Ovis aries: one gene and its partners. The protein of the gene in region 5 purifies or fractionates together with the protein of the main gene of each other region. This does not show direct contact. Links are inferred from orthologs where the notes say so. Each region holds a gene or a part of one and is shown on either strand. Other genes may lie near its edges.

Region 1 (3,500 bases), on a different chromosome or scaffold from region 5:
AAATTAAACTATTTTTTATTTGGCCTCAGATTTTTCATTTTAGGCTATGTTGAAATGCAAAAAAAAAAAAAAAAAAAAAGGTACTTAAAGGAAAACTCCAGTAGTGGTGTCAATACTTGAAAAAAATAAAAGAATTAAATTTAAAATCCTTTCTTGACTGCTTGTTATTAATGAACTATGACTGACGGGCCTTCTATCTCAACAAATATTAAAAATTCCCTTTAAACTACCTGACACTTTGAATTTTGAGAACTACACCTAGTTAGAAAGTCAATTCCTTTTAAAAATAGATCCTTACTTGGGGACATCATTTAAGTTGCATTCCACCAGTTATAAATATAAGCAGTCATCATTTTCTAAAAACTGAGTGACAAATTGTTTCTTGGTATGTTTCTCTTAAAAGCTGAAGATTTTCCACGACATGATAATCTCACACTGGAATTTTCCTTTAAAATGTGAAGAATGTGTGGCGGTGTTTACCATACATTAACAGACGTTCATTTAGACGTATTTTGACTCACTTCCTTGTCCTTTACACAGACTGAGAAGCCAGTTAACTCCCTAACGGACAAGAAAGAAAAACTGTAAATATTATAGGTTTATGTTGGAGGCACACATCTTTGTTTGCTCCTGGCTACAACAGCTCTATGAAGGATATGTACTCCTAATGTATGTGGACTCCTCTAGCTCTTCCTAAAATGACAGCTGTAAACACCAAAGTGTTGGATACCACAAGGCTCACGTGCTTGGCCATTACTCATTTTTAAAAATGCCCCCAAACTCCCTCAAGTCATTAAGAAGAAATTATGGAATGTTTCCAATAAGATAAGGAATAGGTATCCTTCAAAGCTTACAATCAAAGCAGCATTTTCCAAACGAAGACACCCTTCATATATACAAAAAAATTACTCTTAGGGTAAGACTTTCATAGCGTACCAGAATATAATTAAGTATACAGTGTCCAGCTTATTGTGAGATAGGTTAGTCTATAATATACTTACAAATGTTTTAAATAACAATTATCACCATAAAATATGAAGAAATAGCTTAATTTTTAAAATTCAGAAAATATTAAATAAATCTTCAACATGAGAAGATGCTTAAACATGTTCTCATCAAGTGTGATTACTTTTAAAACTCAGTAACACTTGGGTGAAAAAACACTAAATACACCTGGTCCCTACTGCTTATAATTCCTTTTCTTTTAATGGCAGGGAAGATGTGCAAAAGTTCCTATCGTTAACTACACTGCACAGTTTTTCAATGAAGAGAGGAAGGTAGGTGACATGAAAGTATGTGTTAGAATATTAAATAATGATGTGACTTCACTCCAAAGAGCTAAGATTTTCATTGTTCTTCTAAACTGGACTTCAAGAAAACCTGTATTCAGATGCCTAATACTCCTTATAGAATAATACTTTAAAAAGTATTCTCACATACATGAACTTAGTTTATACCAGAGAAAGTATTATCATCCTCAACAAGGAAAAAAGTAAAGCCAGATTTTTAACTTGCCCAAGCTCACCACACACTGCCTGTATGCCCTAAACGCAAAGGCAAGAGACTAGATCTTCTGATCTCAGTTGGAGGTGTGCTATATACTATTGTTGCCAAATAAAACACAAATAATATCCTACACACAAACACGTACAAAGAATCTTGAAGTTTTAATTCTGAAAATAAAAGGAATACACATTATCAAATGGGCATACCTACGGAATGCAAAAAATGAGATTCTTAAAAAGTACTGTTGCTACCTGGAAATATATTCAAATCATGTTTCCTACAATAAGAAAAACAAAATAATTAAACACACGTTGTACTCTCCAGCTACCATTTTCCTCGGCAGCATTTTCAGGGTCTTATAAGAAAGCCACTCCTCTCTCTAAATAAGGAGAACAGGGGAACAAAGTGGGAATAAGAGACAAGGTTTGTAAAATGTTCAGATGTAGTCCCTGAAAACACAGAGGAAGACAGCTGGAAGGACAGGGGAAGAGAAAAGTATGTAACCAAATTGTTAATTCAACTTACTTTGGGAGTTCTTTGTCTTGAAGGGATCCCATCAAGTATAGCAATGGCATCTTTATCTTGTTTTAGCATTGTATAACATTCAGCCATTTTGTATTTTACTTCAATTTCAGATGGAAGACACTTAAGAGGAAATGAAAACATCTCTTCAAAATATTACTTCAGAAGTATGGCAGTTCTTCAAAATGTTAAACATGATTACCATATGACCCAGTAATTCTGCTTCTGTGTACACAAGCCAAGAAAACTGAAAACCTATGTCCACACAAAAACCTGCACACAAATGTTCACAGCATCATTAATGATAAAAAGCAGAAACAACACAAATGCCCACCAACTAATGAACAGTTAAAATATGGCACATCCACACGATGGAATATTATTCTGCAACAAAAAGGAATACACAACTGCTTCTTTATTATGTGCCATAATATGGATCAACCTTGAAAACATACTAAGTAAAAGCAGCCAGCCACAAAAGGCCACACACTGCATGATTCCATATATAAAAGGTCCAGAATAGGTGAACCCACAGAGGCAGAAAGGTCAGTGATTTCCAGGGACTAGAGAGATAACAAGGCTTTTCTAGAGGGATGTAAACCTTCTGGAATTAGTGGTGGTGGTTGCACAATTCTGTGAAAATACTAAAACCCCTGAACTGTGAAAATTATGTTGTAAACTGTATCTCAATTTTTAAAAAACTCCTTCAAGATTAAATAAGCATAGGGCTTAGCATACTGAATGCCCCCCAAAAGTTACTTCTATGAATTATTCTGTGTGGATAATACACATGACTTCAGGGTCAGAAAACAACTCCTGGCAATCAGCTCTTTAGTAACAAAGAACAAAGGCTCTACATAAAGAGAAATAAAACAAGAAAAAAATGTACAGGCACTAAAAAAAAAAGCAATTATATTACTCTGTCTTTTTTTTTAGTGGAAAAATACAGAACATGATTTATAATTTCACTTCAGTTCATTCTGATATTCCTTTTAAATGTAAATTGTATGTACAATTTAAAGACAGGTTCAAACTGAAAGTCAAGGTTCCCCCCCTCTATAAAGTTTTGTTAATTTTCTTCACACACATATGCTAAATTTTCCATGTATATTACCCATATATATTTTAGGCATATAGCAGGATGTATGTCTATAAACTATCCCCTTCAGGGAATTCTCTGGCAGTCCAGTGGTTAGGACTCCGCACTTTCACGGCCAAGAGGGCCAGGGTGGGTTCAGGTTCAACCCCTGGTTGGGGAACCAAGATCCCACAAGTAGCAAAGTGTGGCCAAAAAAATAACTATCACCTTTAAACAGAAAGAGTAAACACACTGCTTAAAAGCTTATTTACTAATATATACAGGCCTTTCCAAATCAGCGCATACAATGCTATATTTCACTTCCTCAATATCCCATCCTAGGGCTACACTATAACTAGATCCTACTGATAAACACTTTTGCTTGTAGTTTCTT
Region 2 (3,500 bases), on a different chromosome or scaffold from region 5:
TGGAGACCTAACTGTAACTGGATGCTGCCACCAGTTAGCGCTCTAACCCTGCTTTGCTCTTTTGTAAACTGCAGTCTCCATGAAGGCAGGGATTTATTTATACTGCTTTGTTCCCAGTACCTGTATTATGCTCAGTAAGTAATTTTTGAATGGATAAATGAATGAATGGAACTAGATTATGGCTGGGTTGTTTTTTTTTTCAGATAAATTAGAAGTCTGAATTAATTAAGAACAGTTTCCTAAAATAACCCTATTTGCAGAATCATGCCTAACATGCTTTTTCCTGACCAAACACAAGAAGCATATTCAAACGCTATGCAAAACACATGCAATATATTTCTTCACTGAGGTGGATGTAATATGTATATAAAATACAGTATTGATGAAGACACCCCATGAAAGGACAAAAAGGGTCCACCACAAATATTAAAGAAGGTATATAAATACATATATACACATATATAAGTGTGTGTATACACACATAAATCTTAGTGCAAGCATCTTCATGTGGCAGAAAAGCCCAAGGGGAAGAACACATCTGTTTGGCATTCTAAGGCTTTTGGAGGAAAGAAAGAATTGCCTGCACATTTTAAGAGAAGAAACATGACTAAGTTAGGAGGGATTCCTGCACACACAGTCTTTGCTAAAGGCAGCAGTTCGGTTTGTTTGTCTGGAGTGGCAATGGGTTGTATTAAAGGAGAAAAGGAAAAATGGTTTAAGATGGCTATACCAACCATTTTGAGCCTAAGAATATAAATCAAATTCTTCACTCTGTAGTTCTTAGAAGAAAAATAAGTTTTCCTTGGTGACAAGAAGCTGTTAAAACTAGAAAATGTAGTCCAGTGAAATACATTTAGACGTGAAATGCATCTATAATTCAAATTATGTTTGGAGTTTCCCTTTAAAGATAGTTTTAAACTTTATATTTTCAGCAATGTTGAGAATGACAGAAGACCATGTACTTCCCGAACTGAACAAGGTAGTATATAATAGTATTTTTCCTATATGTGTTAGTGTTGCCCTGGTTGAGCTCATCTGTGCTGGTCATCTTAGTAGTAAGATGCAGTTATTGTTAAGAGATGTTAGGCTGTAGGCACAAGAGAGATCCTAGTAAGCCCTTTTTAAAATTTGCATGTTTGATATTTTTTATCTCACAGAATGCTAGACTATGGCTAAGCTTATCATTTTCATGTTTGTATAAGATCTCAGAGTCTGTATAACATAGGGTATTTGGATTCCTTTTTTTAACTTCCTAAAATCTTAAATGCATTTTTATTTTCCTTGGAAGTCTTGTATGTAGATATTAGTACCTATGTTCATGTCTGGTGAGTACCAGTTTCTTTTTGACTGTAATAAGGATTATGACAAGTAGCAATGAAATCTCCTTCTCAGAATATCTTACAGAATAGGGCAGAATTCCCTTTTGGTTCCTGCAGCTCACTCATCCTCACCCCTCCCCAAACTGTGATTCAGGTAGATTAGGTGGTTTTAAGCCTGAAAAAATGGGGAGTATTAAAATTAGTCTTAGTGGACCAGATAAGTAAGGGATCACAGCTTTTATAGGAAGTAGATCTTCTGTGCTGTATGACTGGCCTTGCAAACCAGGGATGTTTGCATTAGCTATTTCTCTGCCATCACTCTTACCTTTACTTTGGGAGATTCAGTATGTTCGTTGTTGGCAGAGACCTCAATATGTAATTTTTTGAGGGCTGAAGAACTTGGATAGGGAGAAGGTGGGGGTCATTAAAAGAAGCAGAGGCCAACACTGAAGCAAGAGGTGTTCTCAGGTTGCAGCCCTTAACCTAGATTGAGGTTATCTGAACAGACGTCCTCCACTCCCAAAGGAGAGACTCCACACTCATTCTTCAGTTCATTTGCTCAGTCATGTCCAACTCTTTGTGACCCCGTGAACCACAGCATGCCAGGCCTCCCTGTCCATCACCACCTGCTGGAGTCCAGCCAAACCCATGTCCATTGAGTTGGTGATGTCATCCAACCATCTCATCCTCTGTCGTCCCCTTCTCCTCCTGCCTTCAATCTTTCCCAGCTTCAGGGTCTTTTCCAGTGAGTCAGCTCTTTGTATCAGGTGGCCAAAGTATTGGAGTTTCAGCTTCAACATTAGTCCTTCCAATGAATATTCAGGACTGATCTCCTTTAAGATGGACTGGTTGGATCTCCTTGCAGTCCAGGGGACTCTCAAGAGTCTTCTCCAACACCATAGTTCAGAATCATCATTTCTTCGGCGCTCAGCTTTCTTTATAGTCCAACTCTCACATCCATACATGACTACTGGAAAAACCATAGCCTTGACTAGACAGACCTTTGTTAGCAAGTAATGTCTCTGCTTTTTAATATGATCTCTAGGTTGGTCATAATTTGCCTTCCAAGGAGTAAGCATCTTTTAATTTCATGGCTGCAGTCACTATCTGCAGTGATTTTGGAGCCCCCCAAAGTAAAGTCAGCCACTGTTTCCATTGTTTCCCCATCTGTTTCCCATGAAGTGATGGGACCAGATGCGATGATCTTTGTTTTCTGAATTTTGAGCATTAAGCCAACTTTTTCACTCTCCTCTTTCACTTTCATAAAGAGGCTCTTTAGTTCCTCTTCACTTTCTGCCATAAGGGTGGTGTAATCTGCATATCTGAGGTTATTGATATTTCTCCCGGCAGTCTTGACTCCAGCTTGTGCTTCCTCCAGCCCAGCATTTCTCGTGATGTACTCTGCATAGAAGTTAAATAAGCAGGGTGACAATATACTGCCTTGACGTACTCCTTTTCCTATTTGGAACCAGTCTGTTGTTCCATGTTCAGTTCTAACTGTTTCTTCCTGACCTGCACACAGGTTTCTCAGTCTTAGCTTTAGGCATAAAATAATAAATAGCCTTAGACCGTAAAGAGATCTGTAGCTGTTGGAGTTGCTGATTGGAAAATGGGTTTAAAATAATTACATGCTTGTCACATTTATTGTTACATAATTTTTTATTAAGAAGCTTTTCTTTATCTTGATTTGTTTTATTTTTGTTCCTTTTGGATTTGATAGATGACTCAGAAAGATATCACATTTGTTGCTGAATTTCTTACTGAACATTTCAATGAGGTAGGAAATTGGCATTTCTATAGTGCTTTTTCAACAATAATTACAGTAAATCTGGATAATGGTAAGTAATCAAATTTAATCCAGTTTAAGCAACCTTCTAGCAATTATGTATGCTTTTTCAACTATTGAACTAATGAATGACAGTACTTATTTATTAAATGTAAAGCATATAAATTGAACTTTGTGTTTGTGTCTTACCATCCACAAAAGAAAAGAGTAACTGCTACTAACAGCTTTCTTGAGAAGTAGAGTTTTTGGTTAAAATGTAAGATTTTTTTTTCTTTAATGAGTTGATTTAAGAATTAAACTTTATTTATTCTTTCTAGGCTCCAGATCTTTATAATCGAAAAGGAAAATACTTTAACGTTGAAAAAGTTGGTCAGGTATGGGCTCTGGATTGAATC
Region 3 (3,500 bases), about 110 Mb from region 5:
GCAGAGTAGAGGGAGGGGAACCAGAGTTCTCCCAAGGGCCAGAGGGGTGAGGCCAAGGCTGGGGGCCCTTGGGTGGAGATCCAAGAGGTCTGTTTCCCAGGTGGCTGGCCCCTCGTTAGCTGGAGCCACGAGCCTGACGTGGGTTTTCGCTAGCCACGGTGACTGGACGCTCACGTGCCGGGACTCCTGCCGGCCTGGAGCCCACACAGGGGTGCAGCCCCACCTGCTGGGGGGCCCCACGGTGCCTGGATGCGGGGAGGCCAGTGTGCAGAACTGGCGCACACGCCCACCCTGGGGCCACAGAGCCGACACGACACGGAGAATGAAGAACCATCTCTTTACTCGCATTCTGGCGGGGGGCGGGCAAGGCCCGGTGGCGGCTCAGCCACAACTCTTGGGCAGGCGGTAGACGCCGGCGGAGTAGACGAGCTGCTGGTCGCGCACCTTCCTCTGCAGGAAGCCCTGGAGCTCCTGCAGGTCGATCTCGGCCAGCGCGGGGCCGGAGACCACGAACATGCGCAGCATGCTGAAGATGCGCTCCAGCGACAGGCTCTCCAGGTTGGTCAGCATAGCCTGGATGTACGTCCAGAAGAGCTGCGGGAACCGCCGCGGTCAGGTCGGCCGCCCCGCCCCCCGGCGCCCGCCCCGCCCCCCGGCGCCCGCCCCGCCCCCCGGCGCCCGCCCCGCCCCCCGGCGCCCGCCCCGCCCCCCGGCGCCCGCCCCGCCCCCCGGCGCCCGCCCCGCCCCCCGGCGCCCGCCCCGCCCCCGCGGCGGGCAGGGCGCACCAGCAGCTCCTCCTCCTTCTGGTCGGCTTGCGAGGCCAGGCCCGAGTCGCTCTCGTCGTCGCTGTCGACCAGCACCATGTTGTCCCGGTCCTGCGGCCGCTCTTCCTCCACTACCGAGAAGGTGCCGGCCGGCTCCTCGCGCAGCACGCCCTGCTGCAGCCACACGGACAGGCGGCGCCGCAGCAGCGCGGCCGGCATCTTCACCGCCTCGCTCAGCTCCTCCAGGCCCCAGCTGGCTGCGGGCAGGCGGCGGGGCGTGGGCGGGCGAGCTCCGCCGTGCCCCTCACGGGCCCAGCTCAGCGGGACGGGCAGGACCTGGGGGAGGGGCCGGGGGCGGGGAGCCGCCCGGGCCCGCCCGCCCTCCTCGGGAGACAGGCCGTGTTCTCCTGGGGGTGTGGCCGAAGCGGGGTGGGGCGCAGCTGGGGAGCTCACCTTGGTCCTGGAAATACAGCAAGACCACAGCCTGCACCGGGGTCACCGCCACGGACAGGGTGCGGTCAGCCAGCTCCACGTCCATTGTCACCAAGCCCAGGGTGTGCTTCCAGCTGAGCGTCCGCATGGCCTGGGGAAGACAGGGTCAGCGCGGGCCGTTCGGCGGGTCCCGCTGAACCAGGCTTTACAGCCTGGGAGCAGGCGGGAAACGGCTCCCATCCCGACCCGGCGGGTAACAGCTGCAGTGGCAGCCACACCAGCGCCCGGTGGGCTCCCAGCTCCCGCCCTCAGCAAGCAGAACCCAGCAGCAAGGCCACGTGTCCCTCCGAGACACGCCCACTTCTTGATCCCAGGATCTCAGACCGTGACCTGACCTGTGGATATCGGTAGGGAAGACAAGGTCTGGGAGCGACGCGGACCCTAGCCTAGTAGACCAGTGTACCTGTCAGAGGGTGGGTGGTACGCAGACACGGGCCCGCAGCCCCGCCCAGCCCTCCACCACAGACCCGGCCTGCAGGGCCAGGAGCAGGTTGTACCACTCTGCCACCTGGCGAGCAGGCTTTGTCACGGCCACCGCAGAGCGGCGGTGGACTTCAGTGCGGGTGGAGCATGATGCTGGAGCAAGCACCTTTCCCAGAAACGTGCCTATGGCTGCGGCGCTGGGGGAGGGGAGGACTTGGAACCTTCTGAGCTGCGTGCTCGTGAAAGCTGGGGTTGCCCTGGGGAGACGACCGGGGGAAACCTGACCCCAAGGCCCCTTCCGGTGAGGCCTGTCGCAGCGCTGCTGGACACGACTGCAAGGCGACCGCTGAAGGAGCGGCAGAGATGAGCTCCACTGGGGCGAGCAGGGCTGGAGGGAGGTGCGGGGCGCTGGGCTGAGATTTCACGTGAAGCGTAGGAGGAGCAGCCTGCAGCTTCCTCACTGCTCGTGTGAAACGAGGGGGAAACCGAGGACGGGTGAGCCCAAAGGAACGCACCACTCCACGCACTCTGTGGCAGAGCCCGCGGGGCCTGAGAGGTGAGCTGTGTCAAAGCCACATCAGCCAGCCAGTCCCGGGACCGGCATGGGGGGCCCAGGAGAGGCGTGGGCGCCCTGGTCCGGGCACTGGACGCTGAGACCTGCGTGGATGCCCACACAGGCTTAGGCCTCAGCAGCAGGGCAGGGGTGCTGGCCTGGGTCCCTAAAGGCAGCTTGTCAAGGTGCGGTCACGCGGAGCGGGGCCTGGGGTCCTCGGAGGAAGAGGGGACTCTGCACACAGACCCTGGGAGAGGCCGGGTAACACGAGCCAGGGCCAGAGTGGGGCACCACAGCCAGGAGCCACCGTGAGGCCGACGCCCCTCCCGGAGCCTGTGGGGGGGCACGCCCTGCCGACACCCCTCCCAGAGCCTGTGGGGGGGCACGCCCTGCCGACACCCCTCCCGGAGCCTGTGGGGGGGCACGCCCTGCCGACACCCCTCCCGGAGCCTGTGGGGGGCACACCCTGCCGACACCCTGACCTGAGTTTCTGTTGGCATCACAGATGCTCGACAGCTGCTGCAACTGAGAAAATGGCTGTCATGTTCAAGGCACTTGTCTGTCATCTTTGTTACGGCCGCCACCGGGGACACCGGTAGGGTGTCTCTGGGCCAAGCGCTGCTCCCGAGTAATGCAGCCCCCACGGCTCTGAAGGGGGCGTGACGCTGAAGCTCTCCACGGTCGGCAGCTGGCCAGGTCCTAACCAGGCGCTGCGGCTCGGAACCGTGACCTTTTCAACCCCAACTTGGGTCTGCAGCAGAGGCCATGGCCACCCCAGTGTGTGCGGCGCTGGCCTCGGGCAGGAGACCCACTGCAGGGAGCAGAAGCCCCCCAGGTGCCCCAGCACCCAGCTGGAGGACGCACCAACCTGAGAAGGGGGCCGTGTCTGAGTCCACCTTCAGACCCAGGGGGACGCCCCAGAGGAAGCTGGCAGGGCCTCTCCTGATAGGCGCGCTGGGGCATAGAGGGAGGCTGGGGAGGGCCCCTCAGATGTCTTTAGCCAGGAAGGGGTGTGTGGGGCTGAGTCGGGGAGCACAGGCGGGCTCCAGGACCCCGCCCCCCGCCGCCCTCCCCTGGCTCTGGAAGGAAGACCCTAGGATCAGGTCTCCGGCGCTGAGCCTCTCCCCACTCAGGACCTCACGTCCTCAGCCTTAACCCAGCCCGCCCCAGCACCGGCTCACAGCAAACCCAGAGGAGCCGCCGAACACCCCAAGAGAAGCCAGGAGACCCCCTGGAGACGCCCATGGAGGGGACACAGCGGGTGTCCT
Region 4 (4,192 bases), on a different chromosome or scaffold from region 5:
CTGTGTCTCCTGCATTGCAGTCAGATTCTTTATTGATAGGCCACTGGGGAAGCCCACACCAGCCCTTGCACCTCCGCACAACTCCCAGTTACATTGACCTTACTTTGTTCTCACTCCAGGAGCAAATAAGCCCTTAGCAGAGCATCCGGATGGCTGGTTTATGTTGTTGATCACTGTTGTCTGGGGGTGGCTCCCTTACCCTGTGCCTCAGACTGTGGGCTCCTGCTGAAACCACACTGGCCATTTGTAGCTGCCTCAGATCCTCCTACGTCTGTTTGGTTCTCCTATTGTGAAACTATCAAAATCTTTTTTAAATTAAAGTTATTTTTATTGAAGTATAATTGATTTACAGTATTAGTTTCAAGTATAGAGCAAAGTGATGCAGATGATATTAACAGATTCTTTTCCATTATAGGTTATTGTATGATATTGAATATAATTCTCTATGCTATCCAGTCAGCCATTGTTATCTGTTTTATGTATGGTATTGTGTATCTGTTAATCTCATAGTCCTCTAATTTGTTCCTCCTTCCCTCCCTCTCCCCTTTGCTAACCATAACTTTGTTTTCTATATGTGTGTGTCTATTTCTGTTTTGTAAATAAGTTCATTTTGTATTTTAGATGCCACTATAAGCTATATATATGGTATTTGTCTTCCTAGTTCTCTTACTATGACAGTCTCTTAAGTTCATCTATGTTGCTGCAAATGGCATTATTTTGTTCTATTTTATTGCTGAGTAGGATTCCATTGTTTATATAGACTACATTTTTTATCAGTTCATCTGTTGATGGACATTTAGTTTGCTTCTTGGCTGTTTTTTAAATAGTGCTGCTATAAACACAGGGGTGCGTGTATCTTTTAAAATTAGAGTTTTGTCTGTATTTATGCCCAGGAGTGAGATTGCTTGGTCATATGCTAACTCTAATTTTAGTTTTTTAAGGAACCTCTGTACTGTTCTCCCGGAGAAGGCAATGGCACCCCACTCCAGTACTCTTGCCGGGAAAATCCCATGGATGGAGGAGCCTGGTAGGCTGCAGTCCATGGGGTCGCCAAGAGTTGGACACAACTGAGCGACTTCACTTTCACTTTTCACTTTCATGGACTGGAGAAGGGAATGGCAACCCACTCCAGTGTTCTTGCCTGGAGAATTCCAGGGATGGCGGAGCCTGGTGGGCTGCCATCTGTGGGGTCACACAGAGTTGGACACGACTGAAGCAACTTAGCAGCAGCAGCAGCAGCATACTGTTCTCCAGAGTGGTGCACCAGTTTACATTTCCACCAACAATGTAGGGAGTTCCCTTTTCTCCATACACCCTCTTCAGCCTTTATTATTTGTTGGCTTTTTGATGATGGTCATTCTGACTTGTGTGAGATGATACCTCACTGTGGTTTTGATTTGCATTCCCCTAATGATTAGTGATGTTGAGAAACAATCGTGTTCTTTAACACCCTGTCCCTTAAAGGCTCTCTTTGGCCTCAAGAGTGAGGAGGAAGGAACACTGGGTGTGTTGTCCCTGCAGGTGATTAACTGGGAGAGCACGCTGCACATCCCTGCACAGGTGGAGCTGAGCCCTGAGGCCCGGGACCTCATCGCCAAGCTGTGCTGTGCAGCTGAGCACCGGTTAGGCCGCAACGGGGCCGATGATCTGAAGGCCCACCCATTCCTGGGTGCCATCGACTTCTCCAGCGACATCCGGAGGCAGCCGGCCCCCTATGTGCCTACTATCAGCCACCCCATGGACACATCCAACTTTGACCCAGTGGATGAGGAGGGCCCCTGGCAGGACGGCAGTGAGGACAGCTCCAAAGCCTGGGACGCGCTGGGCCCTGCGGGCAGCCGGCACCCGGAGCATGCCTTTTACGAGTTCACCTTCCGGAGGTTCTTCGATGACAATGGCCACCCGTTCCGGTGCCCCAAGCCTGCAGTGGCTGAAGCCGTGACCGAGGCTGAGCAGCCGGCTTCAGTGGGTCCGGCCCTGGGGGCGCAGGCCGGGGGCTGCCAGCCCGTGTACGTGTAGACTGGTGGACGGGGAGGTCAGCCCGTCAGGTCAGTTGGCCGGTTGCCCCTCGAAGTCTAGCCTGCACCCAAAACCAAAGCGGAAAAACTTCTGAAAGAGGACTCACCTCTGAGGTCTGCATCTCCAGGTTCTGGTGGATGGCAGGAGGTGTCAGCGCAGCCTGGAATTAGCTTTGAGGACCTTCACGACATTAAAACAATATTTTTTAAATCAATACAGTAGAAAGAGCACTTATTTTGTTTATAGCCATTTTTCTTATTAAATTATAGGGATTAATTTTGACAAATCATGCTGCTGTTATTTTCTACATTTGTATTTTATCCACAGCACTTACTCACATTAGGGAAAGACATAAAGATTGAAGAACATGTGATAAGAAATCTCTGTGCAATAATGTTAAAAAAAAAAAAACACTGTCCTGATGTTACTGATACCATTTTATTCACACAACAGTTTTTGTTTTATATTTTTCCCACATTTCAAAATTGTGATATATGTTAAGAGCTGCTTTTGTTGTTTTGTTCTGTTCGCTTTTTGCATATTATAGCATCATAGAAAGTGTGAGCAGTTGATCATGCGGGTGTGACTTCAGACATCAGGTATGGAGAAAGCATGAACAGGGTTTTTCTATTATTAATATAACGTGACCGTGTCTTGCCATTCACAGCAGGTTCTGTGAATACGTTTTTACTGAGTGTCTTTGGATGAGTCGTTCTGGACAGTGCTGATGCCACGTCGTGAGTGACTTCCTCGCTGTGACTGCACCCCCCTCCTCTCTCATTGCAGAAATGCACGTGTTTCTGAGAGATGATGTGACTGTATGTGTTGTGGGTGTGCTTGGATTCTTTGAGGGGGCAAAGACATTTGTCCTACACTAAACTTGTGTACATCAAAAGGGATTCACTTAGCTCTGCCTAAAAAAGTAAGTTAGCCATGGATCTCTGTCTGTCTTGCCAGTCAGGATGCTGTCCTGTGGCCTAGCCGACACAGGGAGCCAGAGCCCCACCCTGCAGACCTGTGCAGAGTTCTCTCTGCAGTGCTTTTAGTGTGCTTTGAAGGATCCAACTAAACTCAGTTTTAAAAGCACATTTTTCTAATCTTTGTGAAACAGCAAGGACTATTCAGTGTGATGTTGGAGGGGAAAAAAAAGATAATTAAGCCATACATATTTTCTTAGGAGTATAGATGTATATATAACTATATAGATAAACACACAAAATATTCCTATTTCAAATTAGTATGATTCCTATTTAAAGTGATTTATATTTGAATAAAAAGTTAAATTTCTTTTTTGCTTTTTAAAAACCTGGTGCATCATATTTTTTGTTATATTCACATATTTTTCCTTGAAGTTTTTAGCATAACGTATCCATTACTTAGTGTATCTCTAGGCAGCAACACTCACGTGTCTGTGGATGTCTAAACTGAAGAAGAAGATTCCTGTGTACTGGTTTACATGTGTATGAGTGGCAGGTTCTGAGTCTGCTGTGCTGTGTCGTGACTGTCAGTGTTTCTCTAGTTTTGCAGTAACGCCGTGTTGTTATTTACACTCTTACAGCCTTCATGTGGTAGGTTCTTTCTCAGGAACTCAATTTAACTATTATTTATTGATATATCATTGCCTTTGAAAAGCTTCTACTGGCACAATTTATTATTAAAAGTTTGAATCCAAATCCCTAGGTGTCAAATTTTATTGAAATTTGTAAGTTCTTGGTTGTCTCGTGTGCTTTCCCCATGATTCAAACACAGCGGGGGCTGCCATTGCAAGGGAGAAGAGCTCTTGTCTTGGTTTGGTCTGGGATTTGGAGATTGGGTTTCAGGTCACAGCACAGGGTCCAAGTCCGGGTGCGGTTCTGCGATCAGCTTTCTTTTCTTCCTGAAGGTGGTGACGGGTGTTTGGCGTTAGATTGCTGAGTGGGGTCAGTGGGCTGTCAGATAGATCTTGAGTGGGAGCCGAATTGCCCTGCTTAAGACTAGTCACACTGACAGTACAAGGATAACACCCTACCTTTGCTTCAGAATGGTCAATGGTATTAAGAGCTCCAGAAGCTGTCAACATTTGATTCTGAATTGTTCTTTTGAAAGGTGCAGTCATGTGGTCACCACTGGGCAGTCCCCACTCCACCAGGCCATCTCAGACCCTGTCCTTGTGGAGACAGGGTTCCACTTATGT
Region 5 (3,500 bases):
GGGAGGACATAAAGGAGGTTATGAAAATTTGATTTGTTTTATAAAGGTAAAATAATTTAAGCATTAAAAAAAATTATGAAAATAATTCATATTAATTACTTCATTGAATATCCTGGTATTGACTTTAAACAACTCTTCTTTCAGTAAAAATAGAGCCAGGGGACGTCCCTGGTGGTCCAGTGGCTAAAACTCCGCACTCCCAACGCAGAAGCCCTGAGTTCAATCCCTGGTCAGGGAACTAGATCCCACATGCAGCAGCTAAGACTTAGTACAATCAAATAAGTATTTAAAAAAAAAAAGCCAGGAATAGTGATAGATTTTCTAACTTACCTGTAGATGACTCTGTACTCTGTTTCTCAGTAATTAATAATAAATGAACAGTACTTAGATAAACTAAAATTGTTTCTTTTCTCTGGAAAAAAGAAATGGAGGGCCTTAGACCTTTATGGTGTAAATTTTAATATTTCACTTACCCTGCTCATAATATAATTTTCTGGGGCTCAATTTTTTAATATTTTCTAGACGTATTTCTAGATGCTTAGTTTAAAATTTTAAATGTGACCAAACATAGATTATTATGAGTAATGATACTTGAAGGCTAAAAAAAAAAAATTACGTTCTTTAACCAGTTTTAAGGACATAGTCCCAAGTATATATTCTGAAATACCACTGAGATGTTTATCTTCTCTATCAGGGCTTGGCAAACTACAGATAGATCTAGCTTATTTTCCTAAGCGTTATGAGCTAAGAGTGGTTTCAGCCTTTTAAAAAGGTTGTAGGAAAAAACGAACTAAATTACGCTACCGAGTCAGTTTGTGGTCTGCAAAGCCTAAACTATTTACTCTTTGGTCTTACACAGAAAAAGTTTGTTGGTTATTCTATATTATACTGCTAACAACTACAAACAACCTAAGCACACATGTCAGAGCAAATGGTTGAATGGTATGCAGCCATTATTGCTCATGTTTTTGAATAATATTTGATAATCTCAGGAATTGCTTATTCATGTTAAGTAAGGTACAGAACTAAATGCAATATGATTCTAATTTTGTAAGAACAAAAAATATGTTTGTATAGGAAAACAAAACTAGGAGGAATGTGCCTAAATATTTTAGTAATAGTTATTTTGAGTGGAATTATGAGTGATTTTTCTTTCTTTATAATGTACTTCTTAATTTTATAACCCAATTCTTTTAAATTTTTAAAATATTTTAATTGAGAGGAAAACATTTCAGAAACTGTCAAATAAGGAAATAGGAACTTGTTTGCGGTACTATAGATGTAAAAGCTGAACTCACTAGGAAAAAACTTATTTTTGCCTGTCTTTCCAGTAAAACAGAAACAGTAGTGTATTGTTCAGCACTGTTTGAATGGTTACCATAGAGGACAGATTTCATACAAAAGAAAAGAACCACTAAGGAAGTCAGATTTGGCAGAATAGTTGATTAAAATTTATGAATAAGTCAGTCATTGAAGGAATCATGGACCTTTTACCTGTGGTTGATGAGTTTAATGGCTTAACTTCATTAACATTTAAGTACATGTGTGTGATATAAAAGCTCATAACATTCTCACCTTTAATATGTTTGAAGAAATTGATGCCCAAAGTAGATGTATTAAAAATGGAGAGTTAATTATGTCATATTAATAGATTAATGGATTTTATGCCTTAATTAACCTTCATTTCTCTATGTCTTTAGGAATTGCAAGAAGTCACTTCATAAACAGTCTTGTGAAGCCCATTGTCCTATACTTGATTATTTCTGTTTTATCTTTAAGGTCTTTTTGGTTCATCACGGGTACAGTATGTTGTAGACCATGCGATGAAAATTGTCTTTCTCCACACCGATCCCTCCATTGTCATGACCTATGACACTGTTCAAGGTCTGCATTCTGTGTGGGCTCTCCGGAGAGTCAAACCAGAGGTAAGGGTGAAGGCAAGTCATTTCTTAACAGAAAAAGATAGTTAATGCTGAAAACCTGCATATTTTTTTTTTACCACTCATTAAAAATTATTTTAAAAATTTATTTTTGATTGGAGGATAATTGCTTTATAGCATTCTCTCGGTTTCTGCCATACCTCAGTATGAACCAGCCGTAGGCATACATATGTCCCCTCCCCCTTGAACCTGCCTCCCTCCTCCCACCCCAGCCCGCCCCCTAGGTTGTCACAGAGCCCCAGTGTGAGCTCCCTGAGTCGCACAGCAGGCCCCCACGGGCTCTGTTTTACGTGTGGCAGCGTGTATGTTCCATGCTCCTCTCTCCACCCGCCCCCCGCCCCGCTTCCCCCGCTGTGTCCGCAGGCTGTCCCATGCCTGCGTCTCCACTGCCGCCCTGTAAATAGACTCACCAGCAGCACACCACCTTTCTATACTCCATATATGTGTGTTAACGTGTGATATTTGTATGTTTTTAGAAGACTCAATTGTGAAATAAATTGAGAATCTTAGGAAAAAAGATGTTTTCTCTTTAATAACTGGCAACTACCCTGCAAGGAAAATGCCCTCCTAATCTAATTATTATCTCCCCGTCCCCCTTCATTTTGACTTAAGGAAGGCAATGCTGTTTTAAAGTTCTCTGAACAGGGGGCCACCCCCCAGAACGTGGCTACTAGCAGCTCGCTCACAGCACACCTCAGAAGCCTCTCCAAGGGCGACTCCCCCGTGGCGTCCCCCTTCCAGAACTACTCCTCCATCCACAGCCAGAGCCGCTCCGCCTCCTCGCCCAGCCTGCACTCCCGTTCACCTTCCATTTCCAACATGGCAGCTCTCAGGTGGGACTTCAGTGTGGCCGTGTTTCCTTGTTTTAAACAAGAAGTCTCAAGAAAAAGATACCTTCTTTTTAAACTTTCTGTTGTGATTGGGAGCATTTAAAATTTCTCTTGACAGCTCCTGAGTACCTTTTAGAAAAAAAAGCAGTATGCCCATTAAGCTACTTTTACCAAGATTCCAGGCCTACTGTGTTGCCTTGCCAGTGAGTCATATTTAGAAGCTGCCAATTCTTGTTGTTAAGAGTGCCGCATTGTTACCACTCCTTGGCAGCAGTTTGGTGAATGTTAATTCTAGAGATATTTTGGTACTATTTTCTTTTGGCTTAGTTTGCTGTAGCTTTGGTTTTTATTAGTATCTATATAATCTGGGTTTTGTTCATATGTGTATGTCTGAGTACCTAAGAACATAGTTTAGACTCTTTTGAATAATCTAAGCGATTCCTTTTCTGAGGCAGAAGATGAACTGATTTTCAGTTAAAAAAAGAGTTACTCCAGCAGGAGTTCTAAATCTTTAGACTATAATAAAGCGTGTTAACAAGCCGTGTAAGTAGCTGTTCCTTTTTTTGTTTTTTAATTGTATTTCTGACTGGGTTTCTGCCTGAATGCTTGCAAGAGTACATAGGGTTGGAAAGCTCTGTTGGAGAGTGCGCCGTGTCAGCCTGCATTGTTACTCATGGTGCCCTCTTCTCTCTGTTTGTTTTGCAGTCGTGCGCATTCCCCTGCCTTAGGA
Region 6 (3,500 bases), on a different chromosome or scaffold from region 5:
ATAGAAAAAATCCCAAACATTAAAAAATTCCTAATTTGGACAAGTCCTGAGTCGAAATCACATTCATCTGCAAAAGGAAGGGTTTTAGGTCAGAAATGTATTTTATAACTCCAGATCCTGACCTTGGACTTGACTGGTGAGGATTCTAGGAACTGTGTGAATGACAGGAGGGATGTCTTTCGTCTGGCCAATTCTGGCATGTGTCCTGGATTGTGAAGTTTTATAAATCTCTTTTAAACCCAAACTTCCTGGTTCTCTGATGTCGATTGTCTAAATCCGATTCTCAATACTTTTTTAAATAAGCAAAAAATTTCCCTGCAAGATCACACACTTAAGAATTTGTTGCTTGTGTACAGATACAGAGAAACCAAGTATGAATGTGAATTAATAATTCAGTGATGGAGCCGTGAATCTCTGGATGGCTATATACATTGTAAGAAAAGTTCCTTGCTAGACCTGCACTTGCTGTGCACCTGAGATGACCATCCAGGCCAGGTTAACCTGAAGAGGGTGTGAACCCCAGCAGCTGCTCAATGGGTTTAAATCGCCACTCATCTGCCTCCAGCTCTTCTACCAAACCAGCTAGTTTTTCCATCCGAGCAACTTGCTGATCTGTAAAGAATCAAGGAGATAGTATTTATTAATTATACACCAAGCAGCAAGATGATGACTGATTTAAAAATAATTTCTAGAAAGATTTTCCCCCCTCAATATTCTAGTAATGGGGTCTTACCCTATGTTGTCAGAAGACTTAATCTTTTAATTTACATTTTATTTTTAATTGTAGGATAATTACTTAAGACAATCTTAAAAAAATAGTAGTACTTATCCTCCATGCCATTTGTGTACTAAATTTATGATTGGTATCCTAAGAATCTAGGGTTACAAGTAGTTAAGGTTCTGTGTTTCCACTGCAGGGGGAACTGGTTCTATCCCTTGTTGGGGAACTAAGATCCTGTATGCTACAAAAAGCTAACAAACCCGAAAAGCCAAAAACCTAGGGTTACAAGCAGTTGCAGCTCCCCCTACCCCCGCCCACCCCAACATTATGTTCTCAGGGGAGAAATAGTCTGGTTTGGTGGTCGAACAGAGTTCCCTGATGCATAAATGAAGACGGGTGAGGCATGATAGAATAGAAAAGGTGCTACCAGGATCTTCGAATCCAGATAGACCAAGAGGTATTACATACATATCTGAAAATGCAGACAGTGGTAACAATGGAGGACAACAGGAAAAGAAGGTTTCAGGAAGGAGTGGAAAAAGCAATACAAGAGGAGTAGGAAGCATTAACTCCCCTGGAAAACTAACCCCTTTGACTTCAAATTTAAGTCTTAATGTAACATTATCTGTGGATTAAGAACTGTAGAATGTTCTTATCTGCAGGCAATTTGGGAAGTCCACTTAAGCAGCCTTGCTGAGTTTTTGTTACAGAGCACTCTGACCTTTCTAAGTCCCCCTCTCCCACCCTTCCAGTTCCTAGTAAGTTCATTTTCACAGTTAAGTACACAGTACTCACATGCTTACCATGTTTCACCTGTTTGAGCGTAGATGCCACTTGATAGCTGAAAACAGATTCACAGAGGAATCTCTCAGAGCCATCTAGAAACAGAAGAGGACAAGTTTTAATCTGCTCCAATCCATTTTAATCTAATGGCTTCTGATAAATGTAGTAAACACACCCATTCTCCCTGCTTTTACATTCAGGGTCTAGTTTTCAGTGTTTACAAAGGGCTTCTGTTTCACTTAGAATTAACACTGCTGTGTTATAAAAGCTACTTCTATACCTAAAATGTTAAAATAGTCCCTCTACTTGTTCAAGAGTTTAAAAATAGTGTTAAAATAACAAAAACAAGAAACCCCAGTCTGATGCCCTGGTCAACACTTCTCCCATCCTAACTTGACAATTTCTTAATGTTCTCCTATTTTGTATGTCAAGCAAACACTGACAACTAACACATTTGGTCATGTGGCCCCAAACTTTCAAAATACAAAGGTACACCAAAACTCTTAATTGTTTTCATTCTAAAAAGTAAAGTTGAAGAAAAATAGCTATTGTCAATATTTTGTATATCAAGTTATATCACAATGACCATCACAAAACACTGCTGGGAAATTTCATTCTGTAAACGCAAACTATAACCTTGATTTTCCAACTTAACTAGAACACTGCAATTTGGATGGTTATAAAAGTATGGTGCAATTTCAGAACCTAGCATTGTACTGATGCCAAGAACTGGATACATGAAGGTAGCTAATTCAGTCACCCCAGTACTTGGAAGATGATTGTGAAACATAAGCTAGTTCATGTTATTCCTTATCAGGCAAGGGCTGATACAACAAAACATACCCCTAAATACGCAGAACTCATGTAGGAAAATGTGACTTCAAGGAGTAGCAGAAACCATTCAGGGAAGGGATCTTATTGCAGAAATTCTAAAACAAATGAAGGGAGAGGACACAGCTGTCTTTTTTTAGGCGGTGGTTCATGCCAACACTGCTGGATGTCAAGCACTCACCCATCAATCACGGGTTGCTGCCGTCAGCCAGCTATTAAGTGACAAGCAGACAGGACTAACATATTCTGGCTTCATGGTGAGTTTCCATGAAGGTCTGGTGTCAAATGTTCACACAGCAAGGCAGACCTTATTTCAGAAGCTCATGATAAATAAGAAAAACCATAGATACTATATTCAAATAGCTTAAATATACGACCAAGAGGGCTTCTACTATTATCTTCAAAATTGTTTCAAAAATATTATTCCATACATAATATATATGAAATTATTATGTATTAATATATACACATATTATATATTATGTCAAAATATAATTTCATATAGTTATGTAGACTTTATTATTCTTTAAATTCAACTTCTTTTCTAAATATTGTGTCATATGGGGATAGATCCCATTCCCTCCTCCCACCCCTATTCCTCTGGCAGAATGTAACTCATTTAAATCATCTAAACTGAGCAAAAATTTAATTTTCAACTATTGAATATTATACTGGCTGTCCAGTCTAAAGATCTAGGTAAGCCAATGATATTACTGAGTTTTTCAAATAAGGGAAATGGCCTGAAAATAACTATGAAATAACTATGAAAATAACTATGGGAAGAGGGGCTGTGTGAACATTTGACACCAGTGATGCAATTTATTATGCCTAATAAATTGTGTAAGTATGCCAGCATTCATACCCTTGATTAAAGAATCAAATTATAACTTAAGTTTTATTTTAGGAAGAGCAAAGCATACAGAATTAGAGCTCTTCTCAGGTGGTTTGATCCTGAACTTGAGGATATCACACCAAGGCAGTGGGGATTCTGGCTGTAAGGACCAGGCCAAGATTTGTTTGCAAGCTCTTCAAAGTGCTACCTCCCGCTTACATTTAATCACAGGTGTTATTAGGATAAATGCTTAAATTATAACATTTGCATATTTCCCTTGATAATGAACTTCAAAGCAAAAGGATACGTAAGCTCATCTTTGAGAAAGGCACC
Region 7 (3,500 bases), on a different chromosome or scaffold from region 5:
CAAAAACAGGAAAACAAATCCTGAATTACAATTATAGTAAACTTCAAAGAGCGAGTTAAAAATTGTTAAATGTTTATTAGATTTAAAGGACATTGCATTGGAGAAGGAAATGGCAACCCAATCCAGTGTTCTTGCCTGGAGAATCCCAGGGATGGGGGAGCCTGGTGGGCTGCCATCTATGGGGTCACACAGAGTCAGACACAACTGAAGTAACTTAGCAGCAGCAGGGAAGTACTAGATGGTAAGCTATTCAAAGGCAGGAAATATGGTTGCTTCAATTGCCACTATATTCCTAGTGTCTGACATATATTAATAATAGGTATTCAAATAAATACTTGTTGAATAATGCACATATATTCATTTATTCTGTTCATATATTTTGGTCCTAATACAATGGTTTAGGTTTTACATTTAAGGTAACTGCCTTTCCCTATAGGAAATCTTGTTAAAGGATAAACTTCTATTCCTAACTATATACACACATCCATCCTTCCTGTATTTCATGAAGAAATATAGGCAAAAAAGAAATAGCTTTTAAAAATGGGGAAATAAACTACTTAAGACAAAAATTCAAGTATAAATAACTTTTAGTTTATTTAAAAAGTGGCAAAGCTTAAATAGTACTATGTTGAAGACTCTTAAGATACGCACATATATATGTATCTTACCTTATATTTTTCATTTGCAAATAAAACTGAGGCTCTGTGAAATTTGCATAGAGGGTTCTTAGGATCAATAACAATGGCTTTGTTTAGGGTATCCAAAGCCTTCTCAGATTTCTTCAGTGCATGCTGAACCTATAAGAAATAAAGATCCTATTAATGTTTTCTTTTGATACTTATGAGGAAAAGTAAAAACCAAATAGTGTGACTCAAAAACAACACAGCTCCCAATTCACCATTACTCTCCATAATGATAATCAGATTCTATCTTTAGAGTAGATATTTGGTTACCTTTAAGCCTAAAAGACAAGGAAAACCTTAGTCTTTCTTCACAAGAAAATCTGTACTATTTTGTTAGATAATACATTTTAACAGACTTATTATGGTCCTCTAAATATTAGACTTCTCAAAAGTTTTCAAGAACCCCTAAAAGCTCTGGCTCTGAAACTTACCAACCTTGTTTTACTCAGAACAATTACACTTTTACCTATTTTAGGAATTTGTTTTAAAAATAATTCTTCTGCTTTACATATCTGAAAAGCATTGATCTGTAATTCTGGGTGGTAGGTAATTTATTTGAAATAACTTAAAAAAACAAAAACAAAAGCAAACCCAACCAAGTCTTATTATTTATTCATGTGTACTCATATTGCTATGTTCATTCTTAGATGAATTATATATTAAAACTAAATTTGAACAGGCTCAGAGACATAGAAAACAAACTGATAGTTACAAAAGGGGAAAGGGGGTTGAAGGAGGGATAAATTAGGAATTTAGGATTAATAGACACAGACAACTATATACAAACTACATGAACAACAAGGACCTACTATACAGCACAAGGAACTATATTCAATATCTCATAATAACCTATAATGGGAAAGAAATTTGAAAATGAATATATATGTATATATAACTGAATCACCTTGCTGAAACTCTGAAACTAACACAACACTGTAAATCAACTATACTCCAAAAAAAAAAAAAAAACAGGGAAACTATAGCAGAGAAGTAACCTTTCCAGGTCTTAGAACCCACAGATTACAAAATGCTGGACTATGGCCTTTAAGAAAGCCTGCTTTAAAAATGTTCAACTTCACTAAAAGGCAGCAAGAGATACTCAAGTTTGGTTTAAGTAAAGTGACGGAAAAAAAAAATCTTTGACGTATTTTCCCTATATTTTTTGTACAGTATCTAACTGTAAAAGTTACCATGTCAATTCTTAAGAAAATCATTATAAAGAGCTAGAATTCTGCCCCCAAAATGAATAGTGAAATTCCACACTTATATAATTTTCCTTATACTGTATGCTTGTTCCCACAAAGGTCAAACTTGCAAAGAGAAAGAAAAGAGGGACGGAAAGAGGGAGAAGGAAGAATGGTGAAAGGACAAGAACAAGAACTCAAAAAAATGTTCCAAGCTTTCAGAGAAATTAGTAAGTAAGATTTTAAAAAACAAACGTACCTGTTCTCTTATCCTATCAAAGTACAACTTATTATCACATACAGTAAGAAAAATATAAAATTAACCATTCTCACCACTTTATAAGAATTTTAATTAGTTCTGACATATCTATACCACTCAGAGGCTAAAATACAGGGAATCATTTAAAATCACTTAAATTATTAATTATTTAATTTAGGAGTTAAATACTAACACGGAAAACTGCCTTCAAAAATATCAAGTATCTCATATTAGTGTTATAATAACCCTATGAGGTAGGCAAGATGGTATCATTTGTCATTCACAAAATAGAAGCTCAGAGAAATTAAGTAACTTGCCCAAGGAATGAGGGTACTCCAGTGATTTCTCTTTATGCCAAGCAAAAAGGCGATATTTTTGGCTGTAAAAGAATCCAGGATATTGTTTCAAGAATAACAATAACAAAACCCCCTAATTTTTATTACAGCAACTAAGCCAATAACAAACATTCTAAAAGGGATTAACTGAACAATACTTAGAAAGCTACTTACTACTCCAATGTGGCAAAGCAAAACTGAACTTTGAGGGTTGATGTCAAGTGCTTTCTGGAAATGCATTTCTGCAAGGCTGAATTTTTCTTGCTTGTAATAAATCATTCCTAAACCATACCTGAGAGTTTAAAATAAAATACAATTTTAAGGATATGAAATGCTAATTTAGTTTAGCTAATAAAAGGATATGTATGGAATGTGGCATTTTAATAAACCAGTAGAAAAATACTGCTAGTCTTAGGGTAGGCAAAATCTAACATGATATAAAACTGCCCAAGTGTTTTAGACAAGTCACTTTTATAAGTAAAAACAATCCAGTCAATCAAACAGCCAATCAAATAAAACTATAACAACTAGAAAAAAAGAAACCACATCCTTAGACCTACCACTACAATCTAGATTTAATAGCTAATTTTTACTGAGCGATTATCATGTGTCTGCCAATAATTTTATTAAATTCTTTGTTTGATTTACCTTATTTAATCCTAGATGGAACCAAGGAGATAGGCACTATTATCAATCACATTTTAAAATAAAACCAGTCCATTCTAAAGAGGATCAGTCCTGGGTGTTCAAGGACTGATGCTAAAGCTGAAACTCGAATACTCTGGCCACCTCATGCGAAGAGTTGACTCATTGGAAAAGACTCTGATGCTGGGAGGGATTGGGGCAGGGGAGAAGGGGACGACAGATGATGAGATGGCTGGATGGCATCACCGACTTGATGGACATGAGTTTGAGTAAACTCCGGGAGTTGGTGACGGACAGGGAGGCCTGGTGTGCTGCAATTCACGGGGTCGCAAAGAGTCGGACATGACAGCGACTGAACTGAACTGAGCTGAACTGAAGGGTGGGTAAAGAATCA

Evidence for each region.
Region 1: the proteins of ANAPC1 (region 5) and ANAPC7 fractionate together in Homo sapiens (co-fractionation; 6 studies listed by BioGRID and IntAct, with this or other methods). This does not show direct contact. The link is inferred for Ovis aries from reciprocal best matches to the Homo sapiens genes ANAPC1 and ANAPC7.
Region 2: the proteins of ANAPC1 (region 5) and ANAPC4 purify together in Homo sapiens (co-purification; 13 studies listed by BioGRID and IntAct, with this or other methods). This does not show direct contact. The link is inferred for Ovis aries from reciprocal best matches to the Homo sapiens genes ANAPC1 and ANAPC4.
Region 3: the proteins of ANAPC1 (region 5) and ANAPC2 fractionate together in Homo sapiens (co-fractionation; 8 studies listed by BioGRID and IntAct, with this or other methods). This does not show direct contact. The link is inferred for Ovis aries from reciprocal best matches to the Homo sapiens genes ANAPC1 and ANAPC2.
Region 4: the proteins of ANAPC1 (region 5) and LATS2 purify together in Homo sapiens (affinity purification with mass spectrometry; 3 studies listed by BioGRID and IntAct, with this or other methods). This does not show direct contact. The link is inferred for Ovis aries from reciprocal best matches to the Homo sapiens genes ANAPC1 and LATS2.
Region 6: the proteins of ANAPC1 (region 5) and ANAPC16 purify together in Homo sapiens (co-immunoprecipitation; 5 studies listed by BioGRID and IntAct, with this or other methods). This does not show direct contact. The link is inferred for Ovis aries from reciprocal best matches to the Homo sapiens genes ANAPC1 and ANAPC16.
Region 7: the proteins of ANAPC1 (region 5) and CDC27 purify together in Homo sapiens (affinity purification with mass spectrometry; 16 studies listed by BioGRID and IntAct, with this or other methods). This does not show direct contact. The link is inferred for Ovis aries from reciprocal best matches to the Homo sapiens genes ANAPC1 and CDC27.

Annotation. Positions count from the first base shown.
Region 1 is NC_056070.1:54,330,491-54,333,990, forward strand, and holds part of ANAPC7 (anaphase-promoting complex subunit 7), read right to left. Parts: intron 2,152-3,500; coding exon 2,032-2,151; intron 562-2,031; coding exon of another isoform or gene 522-561; intron 458-521; exon of another isoform or gene 299-457; intron 1-298. UniProt on the Homo sapiens protein: Component of the anaphase promoting complex/cyclosome (APC/C), a cell cycle-regulated E3 ubiquitin ligase that controls progression through mitosis and the G1 phase of the cell cycle.
Region 2 is NC_056059.1:45,520,223-45,523,722, forward strand, and holds part of ANAPC4 (anaphase-promoting complex subunit 4), read left to right. Parts: intron 1-932; coding exon 933-979; intron 980-3,039; coding exon 3,040-3,096; intron 3,097-3,422; coding exon 3,423-3,479; intron 3,480-3,500. UniProt on the Homo sapiens protein: Component of the anaphase promoting complex/cyclosome (APC/C), a cell cycle-regulated E3 ubiquitin ligase that controls progression through mitosis and the G1 phase of the cell cycle.
Region 3 is NC_056056.1:755,545-759,044, reverse strand, and holds the end of ANAPC2 (anaphase-promoting complex subunit 2), read right to left. Parts: intron 1,348-3,500; coding exon 1,218-1,347; intron 1,022-1,217; coding exon 786-1,021; intron 595-785; coding exon 382-594; 3' UTR 324-381; downstream 1-323. UniProt on the Homo sapiens protein: Together with the RING-H2 protein ANAPC11, constitutes the catalytic component of the anaphase promoting complex/cyclosome (APC/C), a cell cycle-regulated E3 ubiquitin ligase that controls progression through mitosis and the G1 phase of the cell cycle.
Region 4 is NC_056063.1:35,927,234-35,931,425, forward strand, and holds the end of LATS2 (serine/threonine-protein kinase LATS2), read left to right. Parts: intron 1-1,521; coding exon 1,522-2,019; 3' UTR 2,020-3,692; downstream 3,693-4,192. UniProt on the Homo sapiens protein: Negative regulator of YAP1 in the Hippo signaling pathway that plays a pivotal role in organ size control and tumor suppression by restricting proliferation and promoting apoptosis.
Region 5 is NC_056056.1:106,003,642-106,007,141, reverse strand, and holds part of ANAPC1 (anaphase-promoting complex subunit 1), read left to right. Parts: intron 1-1,779; coding exon 1,780-1,925; intron 1,926-2,552; coding exon 2,553-2,773; intron 2,774-3,475; coding exon 3,476-3,500. UniProt on the Homo sapiens protein: Component of the anaphase promoting complex/cyclosome (APC/C), a cell cycle-regulated E3 ubiquitin ligase that controls progression through mitosis and the G1 phase of the cell cycle.
Region 6 is NC_056078.1:27,529,570-27,533,069, reverse strand, and holds part of ANAPC16 (anaphase-promoting complex subunit 16), read right to left. Parts: intron 1,600-3,500; coding exon 1,525-1,599; intron 613-1,524; coding exon 497-612; 3' UTR 1-496. UniProt on the Homo sapiens protein: Component of the anaphase promoting complex/cyclosome (APC/C), a cell cycle-regulated E3 ubiquitin ligase that controls progression through mitosis and the G1 phase of the cell cycle.
Region 7 is NC_056064.1:45,943,236-45,946,735, forward strand, and holds part of CDC27 (cell division cycle protein 27 homolog), read right to left. Parts: intron 2,754-3,500; coding exon 2,636-2,753; intron 2,506-2,635; coding exon of another isoform or gene 2,476-2,505; exon of another isoform or gene 2,444-2,475; intron 798-2,443; coding exon 669-797; intron 1-668. UniProt on the Homo sapiens protein: Component of the anaphase promoting complex/cyclosome (APC/C), a cell cycle-regulated E3 ubiquitin ligase that controls progression through mitosis and the G1 phase of the cell cycle.